Linked DNA regions of Mytilus edulis. The protein of the gene in region 1 purifies or fractionates together with the protein of each later gene. This does not show direct contact. Links are inferred from orthologs where the notes say so. Each region holds a gene or a part of one and is shown in the gene's direction. Other genes may lie near its edges.

Region 1 (7,867 bases):
ACAAACTTTTCACACTGTTCGATTCGAAATCATGGTCGTACTAGACGAGGTCAGCAGATATCTTGAAGATCAACAAGTTACTTCGGGCATCTACAGCAGGCACAATGCGCATGCAGAAGGTGTGGCATCCTATCAACACTTGGTTTTACTATCTCCAAACCAGACGTCTTTTCTCAAAAACAAACTTAAAACCTTCCAATAAATGATTTCTCCGTTTTATTTCCTCCGATGTAAATCGTGCAGTTAAGTGAAGTTTTTCCACTATAAATAAATATGTTTAAACTAACTAAGTGAAGTTTTGGAATTATGAAATAACACTTGCTCTTCTCTTGCACACTTGATTGTGACTTTTTTTTCAAATCGATTTGTTGATGATATAAATGATGAAGGAGATTTTGGTTTGGTTGCCAATCTGATTTAAACATTCCGATGAGACAAGCAGTCACCTACAATATGCCCCGAAATATTGTTTATTTGATTTGAAAGCTGAATGATTAAAATTTCATAGTTGGTAACTGAAATTGTATAACATAATTTTCAGATACTCATACAAAGCCGATAATATTCGCCCGAAGCTTTTGTCAAACAATACATGTCCAATAGGTTTCTATAGTAAATTAGTATTTTTTTAATAAGGCCATCAAAAATTTAATATTAGATATCTGGCAAGTCTTTAAATGCATATATATGAGAAAACCTTGTTATATTTTGAGAACAACATTGAAAAAATTATGCTGTAAACTAAATACAGGAAATAAAATGTGTAATAATTTATATAGATCTCTAGACTCTACGGCTAAAGGGAGATAAATCTAAAGCAGAAGATATACATTTTATGAAGCATAGAATTATTAATCAATCGTGGCGATTTTCGGGATCTGAATATAAATCGTAATTCGTTATCTCAAATGGAATTTTTTTTTTCAAACGTGTCTTTTCCGTCCAAAAGCCGGTGAACCCATAGTTGGTTAATCTGGAATGCCATGTTTGGGAATATTATACTACTATAGTAACTTAATTATAGTCCTAGGCCATGTGCAGGGGATTCTCCAGAAATTTTTGAACAAAACCATTTGTTTAATCCATCAATAGGCCTGAAGGAATTACAAAGAAAGATCACAGGCACTTACTTGTCTCTAATTCTTTTTTCTCAACTATATTACTGTATATAATATAACATATACAGATGCAATAGAAAAGTAAAATAAAAAAATACCGAAATCCATTGAGAATTCAAAATGAGAAGGCCAAGATATCAATTGACAAAATGAAAGGCTCAATAATTGATAAACATGTCAAAAATAAGGGTACACTATAAAATTGAGAACGGAAATGAGGAATATGTCAAACAGACAACAACCCTACCAAAGAGTAGATAACAGGGGGAGGCAACCAATGGGTCTTCAACACAGCGAGAAAATCCTGTACACTTAGGTGAGCTGCAGCTGACTCCTAACTATAAATGTGTACAATATATATAAAAAAAAAGAAGATGTGGTATGATTGCTAATGAGACAATTCTCCACAAGAGATAAAAATGACACCGTACGGCCTTCAACAATGAGCAAAGCCAATACCGCATATATAAAAGGCCCCGAAATGACAATGTAAAACAATTCAAACGAGAAAACTAACGGCCTTATTTATATAAAAACATTAACGAAACACAAATATGTAACACATGAACACACGACAACCACTGAAATACAGGCTCCTGACTTGGGACAGGCACATACATACATAATGTGGCTGAAAATGGACGTCACACTCAACTCCAAAACATATAAATTGACTAAAATTTAAAAAAAAACATACAAGACTAACAATGGCCAGGCTCCTGACTTGGGACGGGCTAAAAAATGTGGCGGGGTTAAACATGTTTTATGAGATATTAACTCTCTCAAATGTAGAATAAAGAAACACACAGCAATACGTACAGTAAAGCTCAGTTTAAAATAAGTCCTAGTCCGATGTAAGAATAGGTAACTTGGCAAAAAAAAATAAGCAATATGTCAGTAACTGCTATAGTAGCATACTTAATTTATGTATCCATTGTTATCTTGGGTATTTTTCTTCAGTACAATGAAAAATTAAGTAAATGTTTTGACTAGTTTGTGATATTGAAAACCACAAATTTAATAATTTTTCCGTAATTCAAGGATTTCTTTCGTTAAAATCTAATACGTTGTTACATACACGAGCAAACCGAACAATTAAAGTCATGTGAAACCGCAAATTAAAGAAAAAAATATGCATATTTTTTTTATAACTAAATGGATAGTTTTCATTATAAAACTTATGTACATATACTTTTTTTGAAGAAAATTCTTTAATTTGTCCACATTTAGAAGAAGTTTTCTTTTTTTACAATTGCTTGCTTTTAGGAAGCAATTCGCCGAAATATTTTTCGCATATGCAAGTGACCTTAGCGTGACCCTCCTAGTAAAAACCCGGTGATCGCAATACGCATGGATCTGTCATTGAAATAATCTATGATCTGATTGTAAATGTTATACACGTTCTCAATATCCATACTTCTTTGTTCCCATGATTGTTTACTATAAGGTGACAATCGGTAAACTACGTCTTCAAAACACGGCGATTAATAAGCTGACATATTTGTTAAATCATAACAAACAGAGAGAAAAAAAGTTGACGATTATACGATATTTTGGCGTAAGAAATGTTAAAATCGTGCACAGAAGACTAAGTTTATGATTTACTACATGCATTGGTAATTTTTCACAAGTCATTCGTTTCATGTTGAGAAATATAAACACCATAAGATGGTGACATAGGTTAGCGTCACCATCTAAAAATGGATATTAAAAATTGTGTTATAATCTTAATTATTTTAAAAAATGTCAACAAAGAAAAACAAAATGACATACATATATATACAAGGCATATTAGCAAATATAAAAGACGAGAATACAAAAAAATGACCAGCGCACAATAACATGCAAACTCTAGAATACCGAATGAGTTTGGGAATGTATATCCTATATGCAGGTGAAGTTGGTATTTTGCCACTAAGGTTGGGAAAATTGATAATTTCAAGATTAAAATCGTCTCGCTTGTCATAGATTCTGATACTGAGATGACTTCTTATGTCAAATTCGAGGTATAAGTCTAAAAACCAGCCGAATGAAGCTTTTAAAAAGAATGCATGAAATTTGACAAAAAAAAAGATAACTTTTTTTTAGAGACAAGTACATGTAATGGTAACTCTTGATTTATAAAATTGATTCCAACTTCATCTTCGTTGAGATCTGCTTGCAAAATTTTAAACGAACTTATTATCAATGTCACGCTTGGTGTAAACAGAGACATATATATCTCTAGTGTAAATAATGATACTGGTGCATCAGTGCTCATTCATTTTGACAAGTCGGACCCATTTTTGAAGTAAAAAATTTTAGTAACCTGAGCTCGCTATCTGAATGCTTACAGCGGTAACTGATAACACATATCGATCGTGCATACGCTATTACTGAGAATGACAAAGATGTTCGGAAAACCAAACTTCATTGTTGCGTTTCTTGATGCTTTCGGTTCGGCTGATTTATGATCATTTATGACAATGTGTGGGGTTTTTTGGTTTGCCAAGTTTAACATATATCTACGTTAACGATAGTACACTTGAGTTAACCAAGTCAGGATTATAATGTACAATCGATATTCAATTGACTAATTCGTGATGCTGGCCAAGTTTCTGGATAACAAACCTTAGCCATCACATACTATGTTCATAAACAAAAATCGTTCGTAATACTCATTGTACGTCAGTGCTTTTGCTGATATGTTCATGTTTTTTCCTGGAACTTTGAATAGAAGTTTAATTGTTAAAATAAAAAAAAATCGTTAAAACTAAAAATAAAATATAGAAATCAGAATCAGAGACATATAATACAATTAGTATATAGTATGTGTCTCTGTCAGAATAAATGACAAATCATTGTGATTTTGTCTTCTCAGTCAGGGACTTTCTATACTAACATATAGTATTAAAAGTCCCTGTCTCAGTAGCACTGAAAAAAAATTCAAATTCATCATGAATATTAGCTAAATTGAAGAAAAAAAGAAAAACACATTTAAATTTGAGAATCGTCTTTTTGTGTCACCACTGAAAAAGAGTATATCCGAATTATAGTTATTAACTTCTTTGTCCATTAATGTATCCTGTTGTATCTCGGTCGTACGGATGTATTGCCGCGAGCACAGTCTTGATTACACCATTTAATTCGTCCAGCCTTTATAATAGACTTTTTAAAATTCATATAGAGTAAGGGCATTATTTCTTAAAATTATATTCAAGTCAGAGTGTTCAATGCAAAAGATATTATAAGTTTGATTAAGAGAGTTTTTCATACCAATTTTTTCACACAAAAGGGGGGGGGGGGCCTTTTTGTGTGAAAAAATTGATCGGTTATATAGGAAATTATATAGGGAATCACCGAAGCATGACTGGAGCGGGCCCAATCTTAGGCAGTCAGTGGGTACCACCTTATGAACATTTCTGGATCCGCCACTGTTGACATTGTCTATTACAAAATTTCCAGTACATGTATTTTAAAAAACTTCAAAAGATTGGAGGAAAGAGACTTCAAACGCGGGAAATATTATTTCCCCTTAATGTAGCAACCGCTAGTTCCTGTCATAGGTGGCAGTGCTTGATCATCGAACCTCGTGAAAATGGCAGACTCAAAATTATACGACATTTTAGGCGTCAGTAGATCTGCCCAAGACAATGAAATCAAAAAGGTATCAATGAAAAAGCAATAGTATATGTCAATCCTTACGCCTTATCTGTACCTGACTAATTTCAAATATGAATTTTGTCACTTTCAAAGGCGGATGGTGACTCAGGATTTCAGTAAGAAAATTAGAACGTTCCATGGTTTGAACTTGCACAATGATAAATTAAACTATATGTATTACCCACAGGTATTTGGGGCATGGACCCCCCTTTTTTGGACCTCTCTAAAAAAAAATTGGTGTTTTTTTATTTATTTTCAATTTTCTAAAAATGTATCAAGTCTCAACAATCCATTGCTAGTCGATTGCAATAACTTTTTTACTATCCATACGAGCCCCAAGTGAAAAAAGAAGAAGGTAATTACCTTCGATGACTGACCTACTTTCACTTTGGAGGATCAGGTCAGGAAATCGATAAAAATTTCATATAAAAACTCACTTACTTTTCATAAAAAGTACATCCTTAGATTCATGAGATATTTTTCTCAACGTTTAAATAGGTCTGCGGAGGTTTTGTGTCTTGTTTTACTGATTTTGTTCTACAATTGTCGTCCATTTGAACCTCCATTCACGGAAGTGAAAATACAGCGCCATCTGCGTTGTCTTTCGCTATGTTTCTATAACTCCGTTTGACTAAACTGCTTTCCTGTTTTTATGCCCCACCTACGATAGTAGAGGGGCATTATGTTTTCTGGTCTGTGCGTCCGTTTGTACGTCTGTCTGTCCGTTCGTTCGTCTGTCTGTCCCGCTTCAGGTTAAAGTTTTTGGTCAAGGTAGTTTTTAATGAAGTTGAAGTCCAATCAACTTGAAACTTAGTACACATGTTCCCTATGATATTATCTTTCTAATTTTAATGCCTAATTATATTTTTTATCCAATTTCACGGTCCATTGAACATGGAAAATGATAGTGCCGAGTGGGGCATTCGTGTACCTTGGACACATTCTTGTTGGTTACCAGTTTTACATATGGGTTCCGAATGCAATGTAGCTATAAGAAAAGGTAAGAGATATGGACCATAATTTGCTATTGGGCTCCGTTTCCTATAACTATAGAAAAGTGATAAAATGTGAATTACTGTAAGAAAAGTTGTAACTACATCTAAAGATGCCATTATTTTTATCAACATACAAGTGTATGCTACTCTTCCCTAGAAAAAAAATTGAAATTAACAAATTTCAAAGATTATACGACCGTATTTGTGTGTCGTTTCTCGCGTTACTTTTCGCGTCCGAAGTGCATAACGCTGACTAATTTATAGATAATCGTCACCGGCAAATTCGTAATTTTTGCTTTAAAATAACAAAGAACATCGACCAATAAGAATAGTGAGAAGAAAATGCCGAGAACTATAAGTATTTCTGTAGCAGGTGTAAGAACACTGTCGTTATTTTGGTTTCCCATTTCGTAACGCACATTTTAGATGGTTTAATCTGCTTTGTTGTAAAAGAATTCTTTGCAACAATATGCTAATACGAACTCTCGCGAGATGTTCAAACAGGTAAATCAGAGATGATTTACATTCTTGTTTTGTTCTTCGTAATAATTAAGTTAGAAAATGACGTTATCGTTATGCGTTACATTTCACACGAAACAGAAGTCCATTTATTTATTAAAATTGTTTTTGTCGTTAAGTTCTAATCATTTCCGGTCATACGTGAAACATGTGACTAACATGTGATCACGCCCTTACAGCCGGATATACGAAATACTAGGTCTAAACATTGTATTTGTTTCCAACGGGATGTAAGCAAACATAATCTGTAGGCTTGTTTCGTCTTGTTTAAAAAAGGAAAATACAATTTTCAAAGAGATTGCGCCGGGGGTCTATTATTTTTCCCATGTGCATAATGTTACATACGATCTTGTGTGAAAATAAATGCCCAATGACTTGACAAAATCGATTTCAGATTTGACCGACGTTTTAACACACTTCGTTTCCCAATAACGATGTGAAGGGTCCTTGGAAAATTCAATCGAAATTACGTCTCCTATCATGGTGCCAATGTTCGTTGGATTGATTTAGCTTCAACAGTAAATATTACTGGATATTTTAGGTGAATAAAGATAATTTAATAAAAAATACATGTTAATGTACCGTTACACTTGGAATGTACAAAGTTGGTATCTTTGTCACAATTTTTAATTAATTTTTTTTATTCATGTTCTGCAAACACTTATCAGAAACGCAATAAACTTGTCAAAGGAAAAGTAAACTTTTACCATGCATTACTTGAAAGGAAGTACTTTATTGATTTTAGCCCACTAAAGTAGGTTAAAATGTGGAAACCATGTAGATGGTGTACAGGTCACAAATATCACATGGTGCCTATTTTAAAGATGCTAATTCCAAGTTAAAAGTTGTTTTCTTTACTGGATTTAAAGAATTTTACATTACCAATGATTTGGAATAAATTGTATATAACTGGAATTTCAAAACCAAATATAAATACATTTTTTTGGCTAAAACATCAAGATACAACGATTATGGTATCCTGTATCAATGAAGAAAATACGGAAATTCCTGAATAAATTGTACTAATTGTTTTCAAAACAAGCACATATTTAGGAGTTTTATAATACTGTTACATTTAAGATGGATTTTAAGAAAAAGTATACTGTTCAGATCATTTTAAGCAGATTTTGCAATAAAATAAAACTAAAAAAATGCTTTCGGTTTCTTATGGTTTCCTGTCGCGTTTAAAAAAAACTTTAATTTAACATTGAAAATAGATTTTAAATATTAACATGAAGCAAGTAACACTAGTAATGGTGTTCATTTATGTCTTTTGAAATATATTGTGCAAAATAAAGAAAATAAAGATTGGTTTCCTGTTTTGTTTCCTGTCACGTAAACGGTGAATCAAAATGTATTAATTTTTTCTCGAAAAACTCAATTGTTCCATTAATACTATTCTAACATCAACACAACCCACAGAATAAAAGTTAAAGTTTTAGAACTTATAAAAAAGGATACAAAAAGAAACCAAAGGCCGAATACCAAATTATGGTCCATATTCGAAAAAAGTATTTTTTCCGGTTTTTAAAAATTAAAAAAATTCAAAACAAACAGTTAACAGGAAAGCAGTTTAGTCAAACGGAGTTATAG
Region 2 (8,766 bases), on another chromosome or scaffold:
TTTAATTTCTTGTTCTACCGATTTTTGGACTCCAAAATTTGGGGCGAGCGAGCGATTTGAAAATTTTAATAAAAAAATATTTAATTTGAAAATTTTTGAGGCGAAGCTTGAAAAGTAAAGGCGAGCAATTATAATTTTTTTTTGTAAACATAAAATAGTAGGTTTTGACAATATTAAAACTTGATTTATCACTTGTACTTTGACATATCTTTAATTTCTGAAGTATTTTTGCCCTGTTCACCAAGAAATAATTAAATCTGGTCTATGTATGTGTAACTGACAATGAGACAATTCTCAATCCAAGTCATAATCAGTTTTGGGGCAACCCCTTAATGTTATAAATATCCCTTTTACCGTACATGTTTTATGAGGGATCAATATATAAAAATATAATATATTTGTTTGTACAAAAGGGCTCATATTTTCTCAAAGAACTATATATCTATCTGGTATTAAATGGTCAAAACATGTCCAAGAATTTTTGTAATATTCCTGGACTTTAACCATGTTAACACATTTACTTTAACAGTTTAATATTATTCAAAATAAGTGGACCCCTCTTTTAGAAAAAGTTGTTTAACATATGATGTACTAACTTTCCTCTTTTTGAGTACAAAATTCTAAGTTTTCAAAGGTTTTGTATAGAAGAACTATACAAATCCTTGGTATTTCTATTTTCTTTTCTACATCAGTAAAATGACACTTTGTTCTCAACCTGATAATAACAAACACAGGTCAAAGTACGGCCTTTTACACAGGGCTTTGATACAGACCAAACAGCAAGCTAAAAGGGAGTCAAAAATTATTAGCGTACACAATTCAAAAAACCAACGATCTAATTTATATATCCGAACCGGAAAATACCAATGAACCACATCAACAAATGATAACTGCTGAACGACAGGCCCCTGAATCAATCAGGACAGGTTGCATAAACATGCAGCGGCTATGGATAGTTTGTTTCGCCAGCATACAATATAATTGCAGTTGAAGGCAAATCCTTCAGAAGTTCTTTGTACTTTATTCTAACAACGAACATATTTTGATAGGGAATATTAGTAAGGGGGAAAGAAACCATTTTTTTGTTCTTGAAAGGTATTCCCGCTGTTATAAATTTACATCGGAGCACTCTCACTTTTGATAAATAGGTTTCATGCTAAAACAAATATTCTCACAGATATTTACACAGTGTGGTGGGGTGCTTTTATGTTTAAAATCGTTATATACAGGTTAGACTGTTATTTTAAAAACAAATGTTGATATCTTTTTATAATATTTACAAAAAAAAACGGTGCGGGGAATGGACATGATTACATTTCCGGATGCGGGAAGCGGGAATATAAAAAAAAAAAAAAATATTCTGTTTTGAAAAAAATAGGTGCGGGCGGGTCCGTCGAACAAGGAATCAAATTGGTGTGGCCTAAAAACAGACTAAAAGAAAGAAAGAAGATTAATTCTTACGTGTTGCAGGAGCCTCTGAACCCAATAGGTACATAGAATTGACACTATTTGGCTCATAGCTAGTCTTTACATATGATTTTGCTGTTCTAGGTCGTGGCTTGTTTTCAAGTTCTTCCAACTTCCTGTCTAAATCACTAAGTTCATAGGAGGCCTGTAATGTCACAGGAAAAAACTTCAATCCGTTTGAATCCCTATATTTCAATGAATAATTTCTTTCATCATCATTAAGCTGTCTTGTATCTTGAAGGGCTAGAGCAGCACCTAACGTTCCACTATTCTTTTGAGGTGACCTTGACCTTGAAGATGCTCCATATCGTGGCGATAATGAATATTCCTGACGGCTTAAGTGAACAGGTTTTGTATACCACAATTCCTTACCATCATCAACAGGAAGACCTCCAAAAGATTCAGTAAACAGCTTCCTGTCTCTAATTCTGTCATATTCTTCTTCTAAAGGAGTTTTGTGACTCAAACTGTAAGGCGAGTGATGACCAGAAAATGTCACACTTCTTCGCAATGTACTGTCTACATTTTTGCTAGTATTTTCCAAACTTTTGGCAAGATCTCCTAGTGACTCTGCATATTTTCTGTCGCGGTAATTATCCTCCTGATCTAATATGTGTTGACTTAATCGTGATGTTGTGTTTGTAATTCGAGAGTTCCTCAATCCTAAAGGCTTTTCACTGAAAGGACATATAAAAGAGAAAACTTTAATTATCAGGTGGCAGTTACATGTAATATTAGAGTGTATACTTTTACGTATTTTAAAAGTGATCAATAATATGGCCATTGATTGTTGTACTTGTGTTTTATTTGGCACGAAATTATGTTACATTTTATTGTCAAGAGTCCAATATCTTGGACATACACATTTCATGCATGGTGCAGCTTGTAACTTTAGTCAATAATAACAGCATTGTTTGACTCTTTCTTCGGCTTAGTAATCATCGCTGTCTTAGTCAATACCACTGTCCTTAAAGGGACGTCAATATATCACGATAATGACCAGTTTTTCAATAACTATTATGTAATGAAATGTGTGTTTTGACAATTGTTCTTTTCCACATGCTTTCTAAAGCTTATTTTTGATACATGAAGGATTTTTATACATGTACTACAAATATTTTTCAGTTTGAGCCAAACTTTATTTTATTTTTATAAAAATTTGACTTAAAATGAAACCAATTTTTTCTGATGATGTAATTATGTTATGTTTAAATGTAAAACGGCTAAATATGACCACATGGTTAATCATGAACTAAGTATCATCGACTTCTACATACATCTTTATATATATGTTAATGAAAGCAATCCTATCACAGTAGAATACATGTAGGTCAGATCCAAAATTTTTAGGAGGGGTTTGGGGGAATTCCAGGAACCAGTATAAAAGACTTTGAAGGATTCCTTGCTTAATTACATGTAAGGCACCAACACTTCGGTGCCATGATTTTCCCAGGACATCAAGAAATAATTTCCTAAGGTCAAGAACCGATTGATTTGTCAGGAAAAACTTGATTTTACAAGGTGTTACATACTACCTACCATAAAATGGTCGGATTATTCATATCCGACTAAACGGATTAAGACATCCATAAAAATAAGTCTCTACTCGTACTGTATACTACTTAAAATAATATTAAAAGTTTTAAGATAGCTGTGTTTAATCAATCAAAGTGCATTTAACTTCAGGCAATCGATTACCATGTCTTGTGGACGTAATTTTTCAAAAGGTAGACAACCTAATTTGTATACATTTTGTACAAGATATAAAATCAATTTTCTAACTTGTAATTTTATTGAGTATAAACGACCATATAGTATGTACATGTATATAACACCATGTCAAATCAAGTTTTCAGGTGAAAACAATCAGTCCTTGGAAATTTGATTAGTTCTTGCTATCCTATGAAAATCATGGTACATGTACCCCTACCGCCGGTACCTCGAATGACCGAATAACACTGTTAATATCAGAATAACACTTGTAATTCCCGAATAACACTTGTGATTTCAATATTAGCACATATTGGTGACTTTTAAACATTGATTATTAATTAATAGTATATTATCGATGTATTTTATAACTTATAAATGATTTACAGAAAGCAGATAAGTTCATAAAAAACTTTTAAAATTTAGTGTGTACATCGAATATGGCGACCACAGAAATCACAATGGCCGCCATGTTCGATGTACACACTAAATTTAAAATTTTCTTTATGAACTTATCTGCTTTTTGTAAATCATTTTTAAGTTATAAAATACATCGATGATACATTACTATTTAATAATTAATGTTCAAAAGTCACAAATATGTGATAATAATATGAGGCAGGCATAACCTGAGAATGGAGACGAAGTCCGTATGATTTTTTTTTTATGAATGTTAAAAAGAGAAACGAAAATACCGTAACGTTTCCGATTTTGGTTCTGTTGTTAAGGATTTAGTTGTGATGTTATAATGTCATATTCAATGTAAACAAAGAACGTTATGTTTCTGATTTTGGTTCTGTTGTTAGGGATTTTAGTTGTGACGTTATTAAAGTTATGACGTCATATTCAATGTAAACAAAGAAAAGCTATCATCATGTAACGTTTTTTTTTTTTTTTTTTTTATAACAAACAATTTTTAAAAATGAATCCTTTCTTCGACTGATAAATATACATTTTACAAAGTCTCATGCAAACAAGACCGGAAACGGAAGTAGATTTCTGTGCAGAACCGGAAATTCAAAAATTCGACAAAAAAAAATTGAACGATTTTGAGTTCATTAGTACAATTTCCTGATTTTTTTTTTTTTTTTTTTTTTTTTTTATTGAATTTTCTACTGTTATTGGGGTTCTGTTGTTAGGGATTTAGTTGTGACGTTATTTAAATTATGACGTCATATGCAATGTAAACAAAGAAACGCTATCATCAGGTAACGTTTTTTCATAACAAGGAATTATTAAAAATGAAATTAGTATTGCGCGTTCCTTCCTATTTTATACTAGACTGATAAATATATATTTTACTCAAAGTTTCATACAAACGAGACCAGAAAAAGGAAGTACATTGTACATTTCTGCGCAGGTCCGGGATTTCAAAACACGACAAAAAAAATTGAACGATTTGAGTTCATTAGTACATAGCTGCGAAAACGTAGCTCTTAAGGTCCTTTTGATGATTTTTGATATTTGCGGATACTAGATTCAACTGTTGTCAATATATATCAATTAAATTAATTTGCATTGAAGTCTATGGAAAATCTAGAGGATTCTTAGCCGCATCACCTCTCAACATTGTTTACATAACACAAATGCTAATCATTGATTGGTCAGTTACATGTTGTGATGTCACTGCAGATCTGAGATATTCTCATGATAATGATGTTTTGTACAGATTTATGACCCAAAAGAATTGGACAAAGGCATAAATCAAACATTGTCAATGATTCGGAATGGTTTATTTGAAGTTATGTCTACTTGGGATGTAGAAGTATCAAACCAAACCAGTATGACAATAACAGTAAAAGTCCTGTCAAGACTGGTAGCGATTGTTTTGATACTTGAATGTTTTGAGTTATCTCCACTTGTCAGGTGCTTGTTAACCCTTAATTTATTATGCATTAAAGAATATTGTCTACTACTGCTGAGAACGTATATTCAGTTTAATTTTTAAAAAGACCTGTATGAAGCTCTCTGTCCATGTAAAACAAAATCTTCATCGGGGTTAAGGAATTGTTGGCTTCTTGTAAATTCCCGCATGCTGAAATTCTTTTGTTTACGGAAGTAGATAGTTGGATACGACGCATGCGAAGAGCAAAGCAGTGCATCTGAATCTCTGAACCGCTCTAAGAAATTGATTTTTGAACGAACATACAAGTTTCAAGCGCACCTTGATCTCCGGTGTGGACATGCACATTTCCGTTCAACGATTTTGAAAGCGAAAGAAGACCTACGAAACACACTTACCAGACAAATAAAACAATGGCAGACCCCCAAAGATTTGATGGCATGTTGCTTGCTATGGCTCAGCAGTGTGATGGTGGAATACAGGAGGTACTTTAATTCATTTCACACAAATATTGGGTAACATGAAGAAAGTTGTGCTTGGAAGTAGAGATCCCAAATGGTCTAGAATGTTCTGCCTGGCTATCTATCACCCCCTCCCCTTTTCTCTCTCTCTTTCTCTTTAAACGACGTACATATATATATAGCCCCACAGGACGCAATTACGACTGGACACAATTACGAACGATTTCCAATGTTTGCCCTCTTAGATCATATTTATTTATATTTATCAATAAATGTTTTTATAAATAAAAACCCTATTAAAATTCCCTTGTTTTAATGATAATACAATTTATGTGCACTCGGTGAATGTTGATGACGATGACAAAATCATTCTGAAAATATTATAAGAACGGCAATCTGGCCTGCAAGTTATATAAAAAAAAATAAAGGTAAGTGCATATTGCCTTTTATTGTTAATATATTGAAAGAAAAATATCTCCTGATTCCGTTCATATGCGTGATGCCTTTTATCTTGCCCTAATAACCCCACAATTGACGTTTTTTAGACTCTTGTGACCAATTTTATGGTCTGACAAAAGAAAATATGTTAATTTTATTGAAAAGTGCAGAGAACTCCGAAAGAAATGTTGACCTATATAAAAAAGATTCATAGATGAATGATAAGTACACCACCAAAATGGATAAACTTGAATTTAGTGCTCCTTTAAAGGAGGAACTTACATAAAAACAAAAAAAATCAGAAATCTTTCCTTTACACATGACCGAAATTTCGTCTGCAACCACTGCTGAAGTATTTGAAGTTAAAAAACAAACTTGTGCATCTTATTTTCCTATGAAAATGTGTTTGAGATAAAGATTAATGTATGCTTTATCTATGTAGACTCTTGTCATTGATTTCTTCTGCAAGATATATCAATATAGTGCTGTTCGGAATTGGGTCCATATGTGGCTCACTGACCCGTAAAACGAGGTCACGCAAATCTTGCTAAAGTATCCTAACGTGAATAAAAATTTATGTGGAATATGATGCAAAATGGAAAGCCTTCATACAAAATTCTATGGTATAAACAATTCAAGAAAAGTAGTCTACATAAAAAAATATTAATCACAGTTCAAAAATCGTTCGTAATTGTGTCCGGTAAGGCTATAGATATTTACACATGTCTCAAAACCAGGGTACGAATTCTGCTGAGAAAATAATGCCTACACAAAATTGCAGACCTAACATAAAATTTGTTGGGTAAAATGACTTAGTATCAGTATTAATATCGGTTTTTATGACGATTGGCTGTCTTTCGAGGTCACCTTGATGGTTAATTGGGATCTCCTGTAGTTGGTGATCGCAATACTGGTATACACAATTATGTAGCTGTGAATCCGTAGCTCTTAGGTGCCCATGTTATTTTTGGACTATTTGCAGACCTTAGAGCTTCTGATTTTTCCTATTTCAAAATGTTCGGAATTGCGACCCAGGTTCATGTCTCACCTCCGGTATAATGTATTTCCCAAAAATTTATTGTTTATAATCCATGCAAAGCTTGTCCCTATATATAGTTCGTTTTGTTGAATATTTTTTTTTAAGATATGACGTACCTATTTAAGTTTGAATATTCATTTCCTTAAAACTATTATCTAATTATTCCCATTTGTATACATTCTCTGCCTTTTTTGTTCAGCCACATTGAATCTTGTGATGTCACGTGCAAGAAAAACAAGAAAATATAATATGACTAATGATATCTATTTTATGATAAAACTTGTTTTGATTTGCGATTAGAATTATGTGGTTAATCTATTGAGGACTTCCAATAGTTTTTCAGTTGGATGCTACCATTGAATAAATCTCTTAAAGTCTAGTAAAGTGTGAGATTTTATCAATTTTATACTGTAAAGCCTATCAGATTTGTTTCTCTTTAGATATACTGCTCCCAGGTTTTAGTACAAAAAAAAATGTATGTTATAAATCAAATTTGAGAATTTGAGAAAAATTGGTTAACATGAATTCGACAGTTAATGTCCATATAATAATGAGAATAACTCATAATGCATATTCACCTACCAAAATTACAAATGTCAAACTATTCAAACCAGATTTAGCTCAAACATGCAGTTGTCATAGTTTTCCAAAAACTATTCATGAAACATTGACTGTTTGAACAATATTGTTAAGTGTGTAATATTGTTCATGTAGATATGTGTATATATAATTATTCATATTGATTTTCTCATATTTTGCAGTTGATAAGTGCCTTCTTTAGTTTCTTATTAAGAAAGACAGACTTTTACACAGGAGGATTGAGAGGAGATGGAGAAAAGGTAAGACTAGATTTTTCATATAAATTATTTTTTCTAATTATAGAAAGGAATTAATTATGAAATTCTTCCCATGTATTTTTGCTGAAAGTTTTATTTGGGATTGATAAACAACATGAAAAAAATAGACAATAAATGCCATAGGTATATTTTAAAAACTCATAAGTAGAAAAACAAATTGACAATGCCATGACAAAAGAAAGAAAAGGACACAAAGACAAACAAGAGTAAACACAGCAGAGAAAATTAAATACCATGGGCAATTCAAAGGTGATCAAATTCTCACGAAATAATTTAAATGTGGATATGACAGTTTTCTGCTTCAAAATGTCAATTTTTGTTACTGGGACTCATTTTGTGAGCTTTTTACTCCTTGAAAATTGCCAAAAAAATTGCCTCAGTGGATGTCCTACATTAAACCAAGGTTTGCCTTCAGATCATATTACAATATAGATCTGACATTAATTAGGACAGCTTGTTTTAGTTAACACAAATGCTACAGTGAGTAAGAGTAGTTATTTGGGAAAGATTTCCCTTTGAACCCCCTTCTGTTGATAGAATAGGCATATACATTGTATATATGCAGGAGAATTCAAAAGGAAGTCTTACCATAATTGTGTTAGTATAATTAAATTTATGTCTTAATATAAATAAACCATTATAGGTCAATGTATGGTTTTCAACAGGGAGCCTTGGCTCACGCCGTTCTTATACATGATACAGTATGTAGCATAAGTTGTTTTACACAATTCTTTTTCTTGAAATATTTTTCTTAAAATGGAATACACATGCTTTCAGATTTAAGTCTTGACTTTTTTTCAGATGATTATGAATGCATTTAAACGTTACCAAGATATGGCAGAACAAAAAATGGCAGAGATAAAGAAGGAAAAAGATGAAGAGGAACAAAAGAGGAAAGATAGAATTGCCAAGAAAAAACAAAAGGAAGAAGAAGAGAGAAAGAAAATGGAA
Region 3 (8,313 bases), on another chromosome or scaffold:
TCTCCTCTGAGTACAGACTGTACCTTCACACCTCGTCTCCTCTGAGTACATACTGTACCTTCAGACCTCGTCGTCTCCTCCGAGTACATACTGTACCTTCAGACCTCGTCGTCTCCTCCGAGTACATACTGTACCTTCAGACCTCGTCGTCTTCTCTGAGCATTTGTTGTACCTTCCGATGTCGTCGTTTTCATTAGGCATACATTGTACCTACCATCATCATCGTCTTCTTTGAGCACATCCCGTGCCTTCCAATATCGCCTGTTCCTTTGAGCACATCCCGTGCCTTCCAATATCGCCTGTTCCTTTGAGCACATCCCGTGCCTTCCAATATCGCCGGTTCCTTTGAGCACGTACCATGCCTTCCAACATCGCCGGTTCCTTTGAACACATACCGTGCTTTCCAACATTGCCGGTTCCTTTGAGCACATACCGTACCTTCCAACATCGTCGGTTCCTTTGAGCACATAACGTACCTTCCAACATCACCGGTTCCTTTGAGCACATAACGTACCTTCCATCATCACTGGTTCTTTTGAGCACACACCGTGCCTTCCAACATCGCCGATTCCCTTGAGCACATACCGTACCTTCCAACATCGCCGGTTCCTTTGAGCACATACCGTGCCTTCCAACATCGACGGTTCCTTTGAGCACATAACGTACCTTCCAACATCGCCGGTTTCTTTGAGCACATAACGTACCTTCCAACATCGCCGGTTCCTTTGAGCACATACCGTGCCTTCCAACATCGCCGGTTCATTTAAGCACATAAAGTACCTTCCAACATCACCGGTTCCTTTGAGCACATAACGTACCTTCCAACATCGCCTGTTTCTTTGAGCACATAACGTACCTTCCAAAATCGCCGGTTTCTTTGAGCATATACCGTGCCTTCCAACATCGCCGGTTCCTTTAAGCACATAACGTGCCTTCCAACATCGCCGGTTCCTTTGAGCAAATACCGTACCTTCCAACATCGCCGGTTTCTTTGAGCACATAACGTACCTTCCAACATCACCGGTTCCTTTGAGCACATACCGTGCCTTCCATTATCGCCGGTTCCTTTAAGCACATAACGTGCCTTCCAACATCGCCGGTTCCTTTGAGCACATACCGTACCTTCCAACATCGCTGTTTTCATTGAACATTTATTGGACTTACCATCATCATCATCTCCTCGAAGAACAGTTTCCCATTCGCTTAAAGTAATGGTTCCATCATGGTTGGCATCAAAACGTAAAAATTCCTTGACTCCCAAAGCTTTCAAATTATACCCTGGTGTCGTTTGACTAAAATTAAATATTGCACTTCTTATACCTGACTGAAATTAATGTATTTTTTAAAATAAAAATTGTGTTTGGTGATAATTCTAAGCAACAGATCTTCTATACATCTTAATTTTCGAACATTTCAACTTTTGGCAGGCGACATATGCTTCAGCATGGAGTCTATAATCTCTGATTCTGGTTTAAAAAAAAACAAATCTATCAAATATAACCTCAGCCACCTAAGACACCGAGAACACTAAAAAGGCACGCTTTTATCTTTTGCTTAAGACAATATAAACTTTTCCATATTCTGATTTCAAATTTCTTGGCAATTCATGAATACGTGAAAACCGCTTAAATATTGTTCAAACCTCCATATTTACTTTTTTTAATGCGTCTCTTCCATGAATCAGATATTCCTTCTTTCGGAGAAAAGTCAATCTTTTCCAATTTTATCAAGATGGATCGATTACCAGATACTTGTTTGTATAAAGGCTAGTTTTATTGCCAGATTTTGTTTTGATGCATTTTAATGTTTTAAATTGAAACATAAAACCGCTCCTGCAACCCTATTAATATTATATCAATGCTAACTTTATTACCTCCCTATTGGTGCATACCAAATTCATTTTGTCTTTTTTTCTTTTTGGGTGAGTCAAAGTGAATATATATTACATACATGTACTGACCTGTTAACATATACAAAATCTGCAATGAGCAAAATAATCAAAATAAATAAGTGCATTTTGGTACAGCCTGCACGAAACGTAGACAAATTGATCGTGTATCTTCTTTCACAATCCTTGTTCTGCAAGTGAATAGATAAGATAGCAATTATTCTCAAGTTTTTATGTTCTCATATTTTTATAATTTACAGACACTTGTCTCAGAAAAAAAACGTCTCATATACCTTAATATATTGCGAGACGTTTCTTTCCAAATTTTCAGCGGTTGGCAAAATTATTACGATTGACATACTTGGGTAGGATTGCTACGAATAATTCCGACAACAAATGTAGGCGTGTTATACACCATTGTAAAGATAAATCAATTTAGATTAACGATATAACAAGTTTTAGTATGGTTGACAGCCTAGAAAGGGGCATATAACGGAATTTCGTCACCGCCTGACATTTTTTCTAAAATGCAAGTTAAGTACCTTGTGTTAAATTAAGGTATATAAGAAAAAAAATTCTGAGACAGGTGCATGTGTTGTCAAAGTAAACAACACGTAAATTTTAATCTACTATTATTGCAGTTTTCGGGGTTAAAATGTTTACTATAAAAAAATCCAACAGAAAAAAGAAATCCCAGAGATTTCTTAACATTTATGGCCATGATTCAGCCGACCAAGTTTATATATTTTTGTATTAAATGAAAGAAAACAAAATAAGATTCGTAAGACTGTTATTTGATAGAATTACTTTTGCATTACCCAACATCAGGGGTCACACATTTACTCTGTCGTACCCTTTACTTTCCATCCTGTTCTCCAAAATAAAGAAATGTACATTATAACTCCAGAACGATATTTGTCCGGTTTTATAGTTTCATTAACGACATTACAATGAATATATGGAGAGAAATTATCAAACCGTGAAGCACCCAGAAATGTGTCCATCCCCCACAGTGTCCGATTCCGCTAAACGTGTCCATATAACGTCACTGCATAAACTCCAAAATATGTAAAGTTGTAGAAGGCAACTAAAGCGTGTCATTTTTATAAACACCCAATCGGGTTCATTTTTATAAAAACGTCAAATTTTCCCCCGTTATTTGGCTATTGCTCTTTCATTGACGTAAACTCCTTTTACTATTTAATTGCAAATTGAAATATATAGTCTTTTAGGTCTTTATAAGAATAAGAGTATCACCCTTTCCAAAGTTGGGGCTCCGTTCGGCTGTGCGGGATGTAAAAGTACGCAGCAGTGTTATGTATGTTATAATGTGGATATAAAATCAAATACCTCCTCGGCACATTAAAATCCTTGTAACAACTCTTTCAGTGCGCCGTCGGTGGAATGCTGAAAGGCAACACACTTGTCCCTGTACATGTTCTCTTATCATCTTGTGGCAGTTGGATTTCATCAGATTTTAATTTCAAACGGGCTCTATTATGTAAAGGGAATGAACAATGCCATACTGAAGTCCCGAAAAAATGAAAAAAAAAGTCTTTGCCCGCTTTCCAAGAATATTTTTTTGAATTTCTAGCCCTGATAAGTGTTAATTCCTAATAACCGTACAAAATAAGGCACAATCCCAAATTCCCGAAATAATAAAGGTACAATTCCACAGTTCAGGAAAAAATAAAAGTACAATTCCAAAGTTCCGGATTTTTTTCGCCTCTTATTATAGAACTTATTTATAGTATTAATTGTTAATGTATGGTTGTCCTGATAACGCATATGTTTTGTTTGCCACTGGACGTAATGTGACTTTCAGGCATAGAGATGTGATTTTTTTTCTTGAAAAAGTACGTGACCATCCACAAGAACTTGCAGTCATACGATGTTCAGCACTTCAGTACTTTTAATTTGTTCGCTGTAAATATGCATGAAATACTTGCCACTAGACATTAAGCAAGCAACCGTCAAAAGTATTTTTTTTATATACTAGAACACACCCGTGATATCGCGGGTCCGTGACTGAATTAAAGTATATAACTATGCGCAAGCCTTATTTTAGTATTAGTACTGTCATCTGATAAAGTCATGCCGATTATAAGATACACAATTTTCTCTGCTTTCAAATCTTTCTGTTTGAACCCGTCGAACTGGAACTTATCAATTATTGGTAATATTAATTATTTGGAAAACAAAAGGTCCTGGAATGGAGTATTTTTTAATCAACAGCATTGTCCTATATTAGTTATAAATAAAGTTGAATTCTTTGATTCGCTGTTTTACGTCATGCCCGCTAACAAATTGAAACTTTAATATTTTTAGTCCAGATTTTTAGTATTCGTATTGTTATCTTAGAAAGTCTTACGGATTAAAATACTACAATAGGTAACAATTTGACAATTTAGTAGTGTCAACCCTGTGATTATGACCCGTGTATTTAGCATATTAATCCTCAATACACCGTTTGGTGGTGCGCCTGTCAGATGCGGAACGTACAGATAAGGTAATAGGTAACAGGTGATTATACTATTGGTATCGGTATTGGACTCGACCCGGAACTTCCTAATTATTGGCAATATTAATTACGTGGAAAACAAAAGGGACTGGAGTGGTGTAATTTTTAATCTACACCTTTGTACTATATTAGTTGTATATAAAGTTGAATTCTTTGATTCATCGTTTTTACGTGATGACGGCTGACAAATTGGACCTCGTAATTTTAGTATTATAGATAATGCTAATCAATCTTGCAAAATTTATGCTAAATATAATAAACAACTACCGATGAATAAACAATTCACGCAACCGAAACCAAACATCTTAAAAAAAGACTGACCGTTAGCTTGTAATTGCAAGTTGGATTTTGTTGTTTTTTGTCATGTTCTTTTTTTACTTCCACAGTTTAATAGGTCTAAATATACTTTTTAAAAGCTTTGTTAAGCTGAAGTCCTCTTTATATAAAAAAAAATTACGAGAAAAAAAATCCATGCAAAAACTGTTAAATAAGAAAGAATTAAGAACGTCCATTAAAGATAAATGTACAAACAGATTTAACTAATGAAATAAATATTCCGTATGTTAATCATCATTATTTACTTTGGATTTTATTGAACATCCGGTTCATTATCTAGCACGTTGTCAGTGTTGACATTGGATTATTCACGAACATGTCAAGAGTTCGTTTTATCACAACTGCCAGCCTTTGTGGAGCATCTATGGGAATTGGTTTATTCTTTGGTACCAAATATGAAAAACTGAAGAAGGAAAATAAAGACCCTCTAACTCATTTGTTACCCTTGACTGACACCAAAGCATTATTCGTTCCGTCAGTTTTTGCCTCGTCGTCTATTCCTGCCACTACAAGTACAAGTATGCCTGCAGCTTTTCCACAACCAGTAAATCGCGTTTCAGAAATCATGAAGTTTGGCTTTCCTAGTCTGGATCAAGTTCGATCATTTGACAATTTTGTACTGTCCTATGACAGAAGAAATAGGAATGCCCAATGGGTATTTGAACACATTAAACCAGAGCATGTTATGAAGAATGAAAACATCAAGAGAGGTAAATCAGAATTTCTGGAAGACAACATCATCCACAATTTCTTCCGGGCTACAAAAAATGACTTCAAAAACAGTGGCTATGACAAAGGACATCTTGCAGCGGCAGCTAACCATCGCCACACACAGAAAGCTATGGACCAGACTTTTACTCTCAGCAATGTATCACCTCAGGTAGTTTTATTAGTTTTGGTTCTTTAGTATTTTGCGTACACATATATGCAGGTTTTTGGAAGTCCCTACAGGGTTCTGTTGTAATATACAATAAAAGAAATAATCTTGACAAGCTATTTCGGTAGACTAAAAAAGTATCTTCCATGTAATTACATGCATGTTCAAAATGTATAGAGGTCATCAAGCAAAATTCTTTCTAAATTTATCATAGCTTGATGTATTTTAGATAAAAGCATACACGTACATTTCTGCATATATTACATGTATAACTATGTTTTACAAGTCTGTATATTTAAAGTTAACAGGGATTTTTGCCGAAAAGATAAAACAATCTTTATTAAAAAAAAATCTGACTTGAAGAATGAAGAATAAAAAGATATAAATACATGAAAAGAACACTGACAAATAGATAAGATATTAGAGGTGAAACTTAACCGAATTATAACATATATGTCAACTTATTTTTCAATGATATACAGGGAGGATTTTATTAGAAAACCCAATATTGTATATATTTCCCCCAAATTTTTAATGGAATTAAACCATGTAAACAGATATTTTGTAAATTCGCTTTGTTCTAAAACATTTTGTTTATCAAGAAAAAAAAAAAAAAAAAAAAAAAAACCAGCCTAAACGACCTATCATCTCCAACATAAGCTATATCATTTATATTATGAAACTAAAACATTTAAATATGACAATAATATTTCGTGTTTGTTTTACTTACAATAATTTTGCATTTCATCCAAATTTTAATGAAAAGATTAATTATCTTTAATAATTAAAAATGATCCTAACAGTAACTAAAATATTCATCCTGCTAATATACAATCATGCGGTCCTACACTCTAATATTATTGCCTGTACTACCCAATAAATACAGATTGGAAGCTGTTAATTTACAAGATATACAAGTACACACAAATGTAAGCTAACATCTAATCTATATATAAGAATTAAACAAAAAGCTATAATTTCAAGATATTTTGATAAAGTTTTTGATAATTTTTGGCAAATGAAAACTGATGGGTGATAGGTATGGCCAATGGCTATAAAACTACAAGGACACGCTATTTGCTCTCGAAATGCAACTGAAAATAAATTATTCCAGGTTTACAGTATAGTTTTAATATAATTCATATCTGACTAACTTTTGCCAGAGTTATAAAATTAAAGTTAAGGAACTATATATGCATGACGGTATAGTGTAAATCGACTGTTGCCTTCTCATGAATGTTTACCCCGCACACCATTTTTTATCCATATATACAAAGTGTGTAATATCATCAATATAGAAATAGGTATTTTCAGTTGAAGCCAGGTCATACACTGAAACGTAGCTACAGGTATTAAAGTACTAAATGCTAAAATCATACAATTTTTTTTTAGTAAATATGAGTTGCAAATGTCTATTTGCTTTGTCAAATACGTCTAGCATGTTGTTGGACATGAATTTTCATTCTAATTTATTTTCATTAATTTTGTCAACTTTTTTCGAATAGGTCGGAGAGGGGTTCAATAGAGATGCCTGGAATGATTTGGAAAAGTATGTCCGGGCGAAAGCCAGACAAAGCAGAAATGTGTACTGTTGTACAGGGCCTCTCTATCTCCCAAGGTAACATGCAATACTTTATTTTTGAATTTCTATTAATGAAGAGTTTTATATTAGTTAAATTCATGTTTTCGAAATACTAAATGGATATAGGAAGAAAGAAAACAAGTATTGGTAATTTAATCCTTCCTTTGTCTATGCTATATCTTTTAACCTTTTAGAAATTGTATGAAAAGAGTTTCGGTTGCCTTTTGTCAACTCTTTATATGTGTCCAGTTATAAAATTTAGATGGCAAGTGGTCGATCATTGCCGTTGTAATTTTCCAAGAATGTCTATTATAGATAGCTGTAGAAGTTAAATTATCATGCACAAAAAGAAGCAGCAAGCCAGTGGCGGATCCAGATTTTTTTAAGTGGGGACCCACTGACTGCTTAGAGGGGGCCCGCTCCAGTGATGCTTCAATGATTCCCTTTATAATCAACCATTTTCTCCCAGAAGAAAGGGGCCGATGCCCCCTGCTCCCCCTAAATCCGCCTCTACAAGCAGTCTGTAAGGAATATTGAGTACATATGAACACCATCATATCTATACTGAAAACTCATACATTTTCCGTAAACTATAAAAAAAAATCAGAACAATAGTCAATAGACCCGTTTTTGCAACATAATTGTTTCGTTTGAATTACAATAATGAAATGTGTTTTTCTCGTTTCTTTGAAGCACATGTGTTTTCGTACATGTATGCCTACATAAAACTGGTAAAGTGAAAAATGTATTGAATTTACAATTTTTTAAATGATGCATAAATAAATAAAAAATAAAAGGATGGGTATCTTTTTGTCTTTGATTTCGGTGATATGTGGAAAAACATGTGTTTCTTCGTTCAAATGATTTTGGTTTAGTTTTTCATAGTACATAATAATGACATTTACCATATATGTACAGAGTGGAGTTTTTGTTATAAATTTGTTTCATCTTTGGTTTGACTACTCAATTTTTTGAATGTGTTTACGAAGATGATAAAACTATTAAACCAAGTAAAAACCAGTAGAGAACTTGGTGCTTTTCTGTCACTGAGATCTTCATTCGCACGAATTGAGCATAATGGAGAGGAATTTTGGTGTAAACTTTTGAAA
Region 4 (8,702 bases), on another chromosome or scaffold:
TAATTCCAGTTGCTCTGATATAGAGTCCACGGGGAAGGTCAAAAGCTCCTAAATTTCAACAATGTAATTAACATCAAATTATGACTTTTTTTAATAGACTCCATGATAGACATATTGGTGAAAACAGTCACTAAATTATGTATTGATTAACATGTGGAAATCAAATATTTGGAAGAAGTTGTAAATTCAGTTAAAATGTTATATGAAATGGGCATGATCTGAACTTTTGATTTATATATCTACCTGTTTTTTTAAATATACATATTCACTGTTTTGGTCTTTTGGAAAATGGTGTTTGTGCTGTATTTAGACCCCTTTACCAATAAATTTGTTTTGCATGCACCCGTATAAAAATTGCAGTTTTTTATCCAACGCAATCATATGTTTGAACGTTGTTTTCAATTGAGTAGATATAAAAAGATATGGTATGAGTGCCAATGAGACAACTCTCCATCCAAGTCACAATTCATAAAAGTGAACCATTATAGGTTAAGGAAAGGTCTTCAGTACGGAGCCTTGGTTTATACCGAACAGCCAGCTATAAAGTGTCCCAAAAAATTACTAGACAAAGTGTAAAACCATTCAGACGGGAAAAACCAACGGTCTAATCTATATAAAAAACGTAAAACGAGAAACACTTATAAACCACATCAACAAACTACTGAAGATCAGATTCCTGACTTAGGAAAGGTGCAAACAGTTGCAGCGGGTTTAAACGTTTTAATGGTACCAAACATTCACCCTTATGTGAAACAATAGTGTAAACATTGTATATTTAAAATACCCCGTTATAGATAGTTAAATCTGGCCCCTTCCAATGCAAGGCGAGAAAAAAACATAACCAAATTCAGACAATTTTGCTGAAAATGCAACCCCGTTTGTCGGAACATACCCGGTATCATATAAGTATATATAGCGAGTACCCCCCCCCCCCCCCCCCCCCCCCCAGACCCGTGTAGATGTAGAATAGCCATTGGGGAAGTGTCACACAAAACAACCATTTCATGTATAGATTTATATTGTTGAAAAAAGGTGTCCAAGTCACCCATTGGATGGGGGAATCAGTATAAAAAGAAATCAGAGTATATGTTTAAGTAATGAATATGATAAATTGCCATATTCAATACAATATTAGCAGATTACGATATTTAAAAAAAAAATTGAAAAGGTACGCCATTACGCCCTTACCTGGACCCACCCCTGACGATTATAAAATATATTTACGGCATAAAACAAACTTACAAAGTGTTACAATAATTTCAATAGACTGACAATTCATTTAGTTTTGTCTCACTTGTTCTAGTTAAAAAACGTAACAATTTTCTCTGTTGAGTTCTGGAAAATATTTAAAGTTTAAAGTAAATGTGTTTGCTTTCCATTTGATATTGTGTTGACCAACTGACCAAGGTAAAACGCCTTTTTGTATCTACCAGGACATGTTAAAACAAAGCAGTCACTAAAAAAGTGAAAAAAAGTCAAAATATATAATTTTCGAGATATGATTAATTTAATATTTGATTGAATTTGTCTTGTATTTAAAATAATCTATACATAATTGTGCCTTTCAAACATACAACTTATGCGTTATGATAATAATAATAGAAGGTTTTTCCTCATGGGGGGGGGGGGGGGGCTCGGATGTCTTCCTTCATCTTGGATTTTGAAGTTACAGATTAGTCTAGATCTGTAATGAAACGTGCAAATTTCTAGAGTGGTACGTAATTCACGTGTAAGACTTTTGATGTAAATAAAGAAAATTATGTGTTTTATCATATTTACCACTGTAATTTTTAAATAAACACCAAGTTTGTTTTGATTCATTTTTTTCAACTTTGCCAAATAAGGGGAGATAACATAGATAAAAGGAGGGATAACTGGGATAAAGTGTTTTATAATAGAAATTATGAAAAAAAAACTATGGATTGACTTTAATTGTTCAGTTTCAGATTTACCTTGGTATACAACAGGGACTTTCTATACTAACGGGACTGGTCACTTATAACAATTTATATTAAAAACTAATAATAATTATATCATTACAATGTACTGTGAAATACGCAAATAACTACTAGCTTCGTATATCAGAGATACGAAACTAAGTTTATTGTTGAGTGGTAGCTTTAAACAGGCGGCTTAGTAATCAGTCAAAATCAATAGAGACGAGTCCAGTTAGCATAGAAAGTCCCTGGATACAATAAAACTGAAAAAAACCTGAAAAAAACTTACCTTTGTGGTTTTTGTAATTACCAGACATTTTGATTCTGTTAGAAAACACTTTAGCACAAGTCTCCAAGAAATAAATGAATAGCCAGAATAGAAATAATTGTAGTTTTTAAATGTTGGCTATTAATTTGATGAACTTGATTATTCATGTGTTGACTTTAAAATTAATCATGCAAAGGCTTGACTTTTATGTTATAATTAACATTGTAAGACTTGAATATCTAAATTGGAAAGATTAAAGATTAAAGAAATGTAAATTAACTATCTAACAGGAATGCAGTTGCTAACCTTACTCCTGAATTACAAACTATATATAAAATAGAAGACGTGGCACGATTGCCAATGAGACAACTCTCCACAAGAGACCAAAAGGACATTAACAACTATAGGTCACCGTAAGGCCTTTAATGCATGTTTTGATAATATAATTATAACTGAAATATTACTGAACATAAATTACCGTTCTTGACATAGCACACATATTTTGACACTTGCGCACACCATATATATATACATTCATATTAGGTTTAAAGTCTGGGGTATGACACTTGTTTTCCATTCGTTTGATGTGATTGACCTTTTGATAACTTTTCACCGAGTTTGTGTCAAGACATTTCACAGTTTTACGTGTACAACACTCTGTAACATGAACTGAATACTAAATTTAGGGATAACTTCTCGTACGAATTCATTTTGACCTTTCGGCTTTAGGTCGGTTAATCAAAACATGTATGCAGTTTGTCCTACAAATTTGTATTATATATCCATAATATATTATATCATGTCAAGGTATAGATTGGCTTGTCCTGTGTGTATTATTTAAAAAATAAATGCATTTAGAATAGCGGACAACAGATTAAGTCTTTTTTTTTTAATTCGTGTCATACATGTCAATTAAAGTATCGAATCTGTTAATATTGCCAACATCTGTTTTCTAAAGCGTAGTTACTTCTAAACTAGCCGTATTTCTTTAAATTTTAAAAATTGGTAGATTTGCGGTCATACTATAGTACTTGTTGGTATCCTTAAATCGAGCACACATAATTAAGCCACCTTGCAAATTTACAAATTGTTTTCTTCATCAAGATGTGTTGTGATTGCCATTGAGAAAACTGAAATGAAGAAAAATAATGCCATTCTATTTATCAATAATCTAAACAGTAAATGAAAAATTAATAAAGAAATATCATGATACACTGAAAAACCCGACAACCACTGAATTACTGCCCATCCTTCTGACTTAGGACTAGATCGCACTTACAAAATGTAACGGTGTTAAACTTAAAACGTGTTAGTGTTTGGTTATCCTCCTTTCAGAATGATATAAAAGTTAGGAGAAGTGGTATGTTCTCCAATTAGATAGACACATCTCCACAAAAGACCAAAAGACAACGTCACGGCGCGGAGTTACCAACTTAGGTCACCGTACAGTCTTCAACAATGAGCAAAACCCACAACGCAATGTCACGAAATAACGAATAAAAAACACAAGAAAAACTAGAAAAACTAACGTTTTTTATACAAAAATAATAAACAAAAAAAATATATGTGAAACAGCAACAAACGACATCCACTGAATTATAGGTTCGTGACAGGCACATTTTACTGTGCGTCTTGGTGTGTGTTTTCTTCTACATTGGCTAGAGAGTTTATTAAACATATTACAATAATAGATTAATTGCGATATACTTTATGTATGTAATGATTTGGCAGTTAAACTATTTTTTAAATTAGGTTATAATATTGAACGGAGACCGTGTGGTTCCTCGTTTTGTGGCACATTTTATATATCGTATTAATGTTAAACTACTAATAATCTGAATAATCATAAAACAGAATTTGATTAAAATTTGAGTATTCAAAAGAGGGGAAAAAACACCGGGCAGTTCTTACAACATTCTTTTTCTCTAAAAATTACAAAATCTTCCAAAAACAAAACTGATGTATATAATAATATAAATGTATGATAATTCAAATGTATAAAGGTTAGACGTATATCATATTTAATTTATGCAGTGGGGTGCACGGTCACCGGACGTACATACATTGTAACACCTCTAGGTTGGAAATCATATGTCAATGATACAGAAATCAATAAAAAAAAATCCATATATATATATTTTACCAGTTATAGTTTTTTTTTCAGTTTGAATTAAGAAATGTGTCATTCTTTTTCCAATACAAAAGATTAACCTTGTGGGTATGCAAATACATATTTTTTTTTAACAATTAACTCAGTGTTATCAGAGTCCCAATCGGTGTTGATCCTTTTATTTAGATGTTTGAAATAAAGTGACCATGGTGACAAAATCCTGTTAGATTTTCAGCTGGAAATTCTTGTTAACTTTCTTTTTGTTACTCAAAATCAAATTTAAATCTATTATATCTCACTGAAAGTTCCGGAATCCGCAAAAATCATTTAGTTAATTATAGCTATACATTAAATGACTCGCCGGAATAATTTGTTTATTAAAGTGTCACATATTGAGTGCAATAAAAAGAATTCACACAGTCACATAATAAAGTACACATGTATAGTAAGACACTATTCACATCCTTGGTTTATTAAATCTATCTTTTTCTTATAGTAACATTTGTTTACCAGACATTTATTTTGAAGAAGATATTTAATTTTATATTTTGATTTTGAAATAATTTCAACAAAATTTCTAACGTGAAAGGCTACTGTCCTGGCAGATTTTTTTACCTTTAAAAGATGAAAAAAAATATTAAACCATAAATTTTTAGAATAAATATTCCATAAACTTTATAATCGTACAAAAATATTATGCCAGACAGTTGTTTTGGAGAAAATATTTCATTTATAAGTAAACTTTTCTCGGCAATTTCAGCCATTTTTTTCATAATATTAAACTGTCCTGGCAGATTTTTTTTTAACTTAGTTATTTTTTATTTTTATTTTCTTTTACAGATAATATAAGTAAATATCCTGTTCTTTATTATACAATTTACATTTTAACAATATGTTGAGTAAAACGAAAGTTACAGATAAAAACGTATCGAAAATAACTGTCCTGGTTTTATCTGTCCTGTTCATAGACCTTCCCTGTGTGAGGTGTTCCTTTCTGGGGATATTGATACGAAAGAAGAAGACGAAATAATGTTCCGAATAAATTCCGAAAGTACTGGCGGGAACTGTTTCATAACAATTTTTTGACGCGGTTTGTAGAGAAAACATCAACAACATGCCAACCTCTAGGAATTTTTCAATGAAGAAAAGAAAAGCTGCAACATTATCTCCTCCCGTCGTTATTTCAAAGCGGAGCAAGGTGAGCTCAAAATAACATATTTAATTGTACCAAGGATTTGTATAGTAAGACTATACAAAATTTTCCTTGATCAGGTCAGGAATAACCACCAATTGGTGGATTATACCTCAATTGACGTATAATCCACCAATTGAGGTATATTGGTATAGACCAATTGACGTATAATGCAATTTTTTTGTAATAAAATGCTAGTGTGAGAAAGGAGCATGATTTTGCAACTTGCAACATATAATTTTTATGACCCTTATAATTTGAGTCCTCCGAAAGTTTCAGTTTTGTCAAAGCCTGCTGCATCTCTTGAGAATGCATGTGTACAACAATTCTTTTGTTGAAACATTTGTCCAGTCTGGGTGCTTAAAATATCAGTACATCAGAAGGGTGATTTTCACCCTCAGTGTTCCAGCTAGGTTTTCAAAAGGGCAGGGTGTCAATCCTGAAAAAGGGCATTTAACGCGCGATATGATAATATGAAAAGGGCATATTTTAATAAAAGATGTTAATCAAACATTTGTGTTTATTCGTTGAATCACAGGTTATACAAGAACAACATCTTTAGCCCATATAGAACTCTATCTTTCTACTTTTAAGGCTGAAAAACTTGTCAAGCAGCTTGTCACACAAGTTTTTTTATCATTGCTTGGCACAGTTGAACTTTATATGCAGTATGTTTTGAAAGGAGATCTGTTTCATACTGTTTCTATGGTCTACCACATTTTACCAGTTTCACCTTTCTACCCCTGCTGTGCTTGATAGCAATACAGCACAAAACAGCTGTGCTCAGGAAATTCACAATTTTAGGATATAAAGCAACAGTGAAAAATAGTATCAAAAATAAAGAATACAGAAAAAGATGACCAAGGCACCCTACCAACACTGCTACTAAGACCCTCTTTAACTTTTCCCATAACTCAAAATAAATACCTAAACATATATATTCTTAAGCAAGAAGTATGGAGACACATTTTAGAATATGTAAATGGGTTACTCAATGCTAGGAAAAAAATCAGATTGAGTTATCTTTCTTTATTCGGGTGTGCTCCTTCTTTGGAGGATTATAAACAGTACGTAAATATGATGTAAATATGATCACAATATGGCGGCCGATTTTGTTATTTTCGTATCAAAAATGAAGGCAGTCAATCGCAAATACGTCTGAATTTTCTGTTTATTTTACAGAAAACAAGTAAAACAATGTCTTCAACGAGTTTATAATGGTTTTCCAACTTTCTGTCATTACGTTTCTTCCATGAAACTACGGTAAACATCGCAAATTGTGCCCAAGTTGTTGTATGCACATTTCTTCAAAGATAATTGCCGACTGACCGATTCTATTTGAACGAATTAATGTTGATGATCATTAATGACCCATCCGATAAACGGATTACCTATAACAACAGATTATGACACCAGTTGTAACCATTGATTAGCTTGGGGTGGTAAACAAAGTCATAATCTTTTCCCCAGGTAAAATTTAGTAATTAGCGTATCATATCAATACGCAAATTAATATGCAAAAGGCAGGGCGCCCTGGAAACTGTAAAAAGGGCACAGGGCGCCACTCGGAAAAGGGCGGGCGCCGCGCCCTCTGAAAACGGCCTAGCTGGAACACTGACCCTCTCACACACATCTCTGGTACCCAGACTGGAGTTTAAACTAGAATGGGTACTTTGGGGGCCTCAGTTGGTCAAAGTTGTCCCCTACTTTGACCTGGAGATCAATCTTCTGATATCTCTCTGGTTTGTCGTGTTTCCACCGAGTGGCCCGGTGTTTCTTTCCGAGTACTTCGGCTTCCTCCACCATAATAACAGACTTCCCTGTGTCCTACACTCTCCCTTGGGGCGGTGTTGGGTGGGGATTGTTCTGGTGGTAGGATAATATTGTAAAGGACACATCTCCATTAATCCTTAGGGAGTGTACATGGATCCGCTGTACCCTTGCAGTCAATCAAGGGGTGCGTCTAAATTGGTGGAATCTCGAAGTACATATATACATACATACATACATTGACAGGTGATTACAGGTAAATTTGCCAATCAAGAATTGACAAGATAACAATAGAAGAAACTACAAATACAATTATTGATTAAATTCAATATGTTATGTCACTATACTAAACTAGGAATGTTTGACAAGTTTTCATACCATAATATGGTTTTAAGAAAACAATGCTCCATTTTGGTAAAATAATTTGTTTTGAAAAACAAAAAAAAATACACCAATTGGTCTATATCTTTATATGTCAATTGGTGGATTATACGTCAATTGAGGAATAATCCACCAATTGGTGGTTATTCCTGACCTGTTGATTGTACTAGTATTAATTTTGCAGTAGTTTTCTTTATATGTTTAATGCCTATGGTTGGCAAATTTTCTGAAATACCATCATTACCTGCTTCAGTGCTAGTTTATTAGTTTGATCCTTGGTAATCTTTCAACGGAATAATCTAAATCTAGCAACCAATTCATTTTAGAAAACTGTCTAACCAAAAGTTGCTACTATCATGACATGACCTAGTCCAAATAATTATGACGTCTGGCAAGGCTATTTTAATTTTTTTTCTGGGACACCTTCCTACGACGCCATAACGCTGAAGCCATGTTTTACGTCTGGAGTTTGAGAGCAAATTTTGGGGGGAACTTTTGACACCTAATAATTTTTGACATGAAATTTTCATTGCCGGTTAGAAATTTTTACGTAGTTACAAAGCAGTCTGCACGGTTAGCTACATATACTAGTCCATTAAAACTTCATTCGGACTAGTAAGTTTTTGCAAAACTTTGTTTGGACAATTAAGAAAAATGTCAGAATATTGGTCTTCAGACTAGTAGTTGAAAAAGTTTTTGGCGCAGATTGACAAAGTCCTACCTTTTTTGTGCTTATTGATGTAAAATATATCCAGAAATATCCAAAAGAAAAGATAAAATAAGCTACGAAATTCCATTTGAGGTGGGCAAATATTTATTTTGTTTCAAGATGTATATGTTTTCCCACAACATGCACAATTAACAAAGAAACATCTTGAAACAAAATAAATATTTGCCCACCTCAAATGGAATCGTAGCTTATTTTATCTTTTCTCAAATGTTAAAATTCTAATGCTGTTGTTACATCACAATAAGAAAGGGTTGTTTGAAATATAAAATGAACAGCAAAGATTTGGGAAATTGGATATCAAACATTTTTTAGAT

Evidence for each region.
Region 2: the proteins of dnaJ homolog subfamily A member 2-like (region 1) and nuclear migration protein nudC-like purify together in Homo sapiens (affinity purification with mass spectrometry; 4 studies listed by BioGRID and IntAct, with this or other methods). This does not show direct contact. The link is inferred for Mytilus edulis from reciprocal best matches to the Homo sapiens genes DNAJA2 and NUDC.
Region 3: the proteins of dnaJ homolog subfamily A member 2-like (region 1) and endonuclease G, mitochondrial-like purify together in Homo sapiens (affinity purification with mass spectrometry; 3 studies listed by BioGRID and IntAct, with this or other methods). This does not show direct contact. The link is inferred for Mytilus edulis from reciprocal best matches to the Homo sapiens genes DNAJA2 and ENDOG.
Region 4: the proteins of dnaJ homolog subfamily A member 2-like (region 1) and WD repeat-containing protein 76-like purify together in Homo sapiens (affinity purification with mass spectrometry; 3 studies listed by BioGRID and IntAct, with this or other methods). This does not show direct contact. The link is inferred for Mytilus edulis from reciprocal best matches to the Homo sapiens genes DNAJA2 and WDR76.

What each region holds. Positions count from the first base shown.
Region 1 is NC_092348.1:49,350,641-49,358,507, reverse strand, and holds the start of dnaJ homolog subfamily A member 2-like, read left to right. Parts: upstream 1-4,616; 5' UTR 4,617-4,695; coding exon 4,696-4,764; intron 4,765-7,867. UniProt on the Homo sapiens protein: Co-chaperone of Hsc70. Stimulates ATP hydrolysis and the folding of unfolded proteins mediated by HSPA1A/B (in vitro).
Region 2 is NC_092353.1:36,784,378-36,793,143, forward strand, and holds the start of nuclear migration protein nudC-like, read left to right. Parts: upstream 1-5,272; 5' UTR 5,273-5,433; coding exon 5,434-5,505; intron 5,506-7,719; coding exon 7,720-7,797; intron 7,798-8,616; coding exon 8,617-8,766. Other genes in the region: uncharacterized protein, read right to left, coding at 1,462-2,144, 5,132-5,211. UniProt on the Homo sapiens protein: Plays a role in neurogenesis and neuronal migration. Necessary for correct formation of mitotic spindles and chromosome separation during mitosis. Necessary for cytokinesis and cell proliferation.
Region 3 is NC_092345.1:52,567,614-52,575,926, reverse strand, and holds the start of endonuclease G, mitochondrial-like, read left to right. Parts: upstream 1-5,022; 5' UTR 5,023-5,061; coding exon 5,062-5,625; intron 5,626-7,127; coding exon 7,128-7,240; intron 7,241-8,313. Other genes in the region: uncharacterized protein, read right to left, coding at 1,165-1,324, 1,643-1,648. UniProt on the Homo sapiens protein: Endonuclease that preferentially catalyzes the cleavage of double-stranded 5-hydroxymethylcytosine (5hmC)-modified DNA.
Region 4 is NC_092350.1:66,304,573-66,313,274, forward strand, and holds the start of WD repeat-containing protein 76-like, read left to right. Parts: upstream 1-5,335; 5' UTR 5,336-5,429; coding exon 5,430-5,513; intron 5,514-8,702. Other genes in the region: uncharacterized protein, read right to left, coding at 2,227-2,254. UniProt on the Homo sapiens protein: Specifically binds 5-hydroxymethylcytosine (5hmC), suggesting that it acts as a specific reader of 5hmC.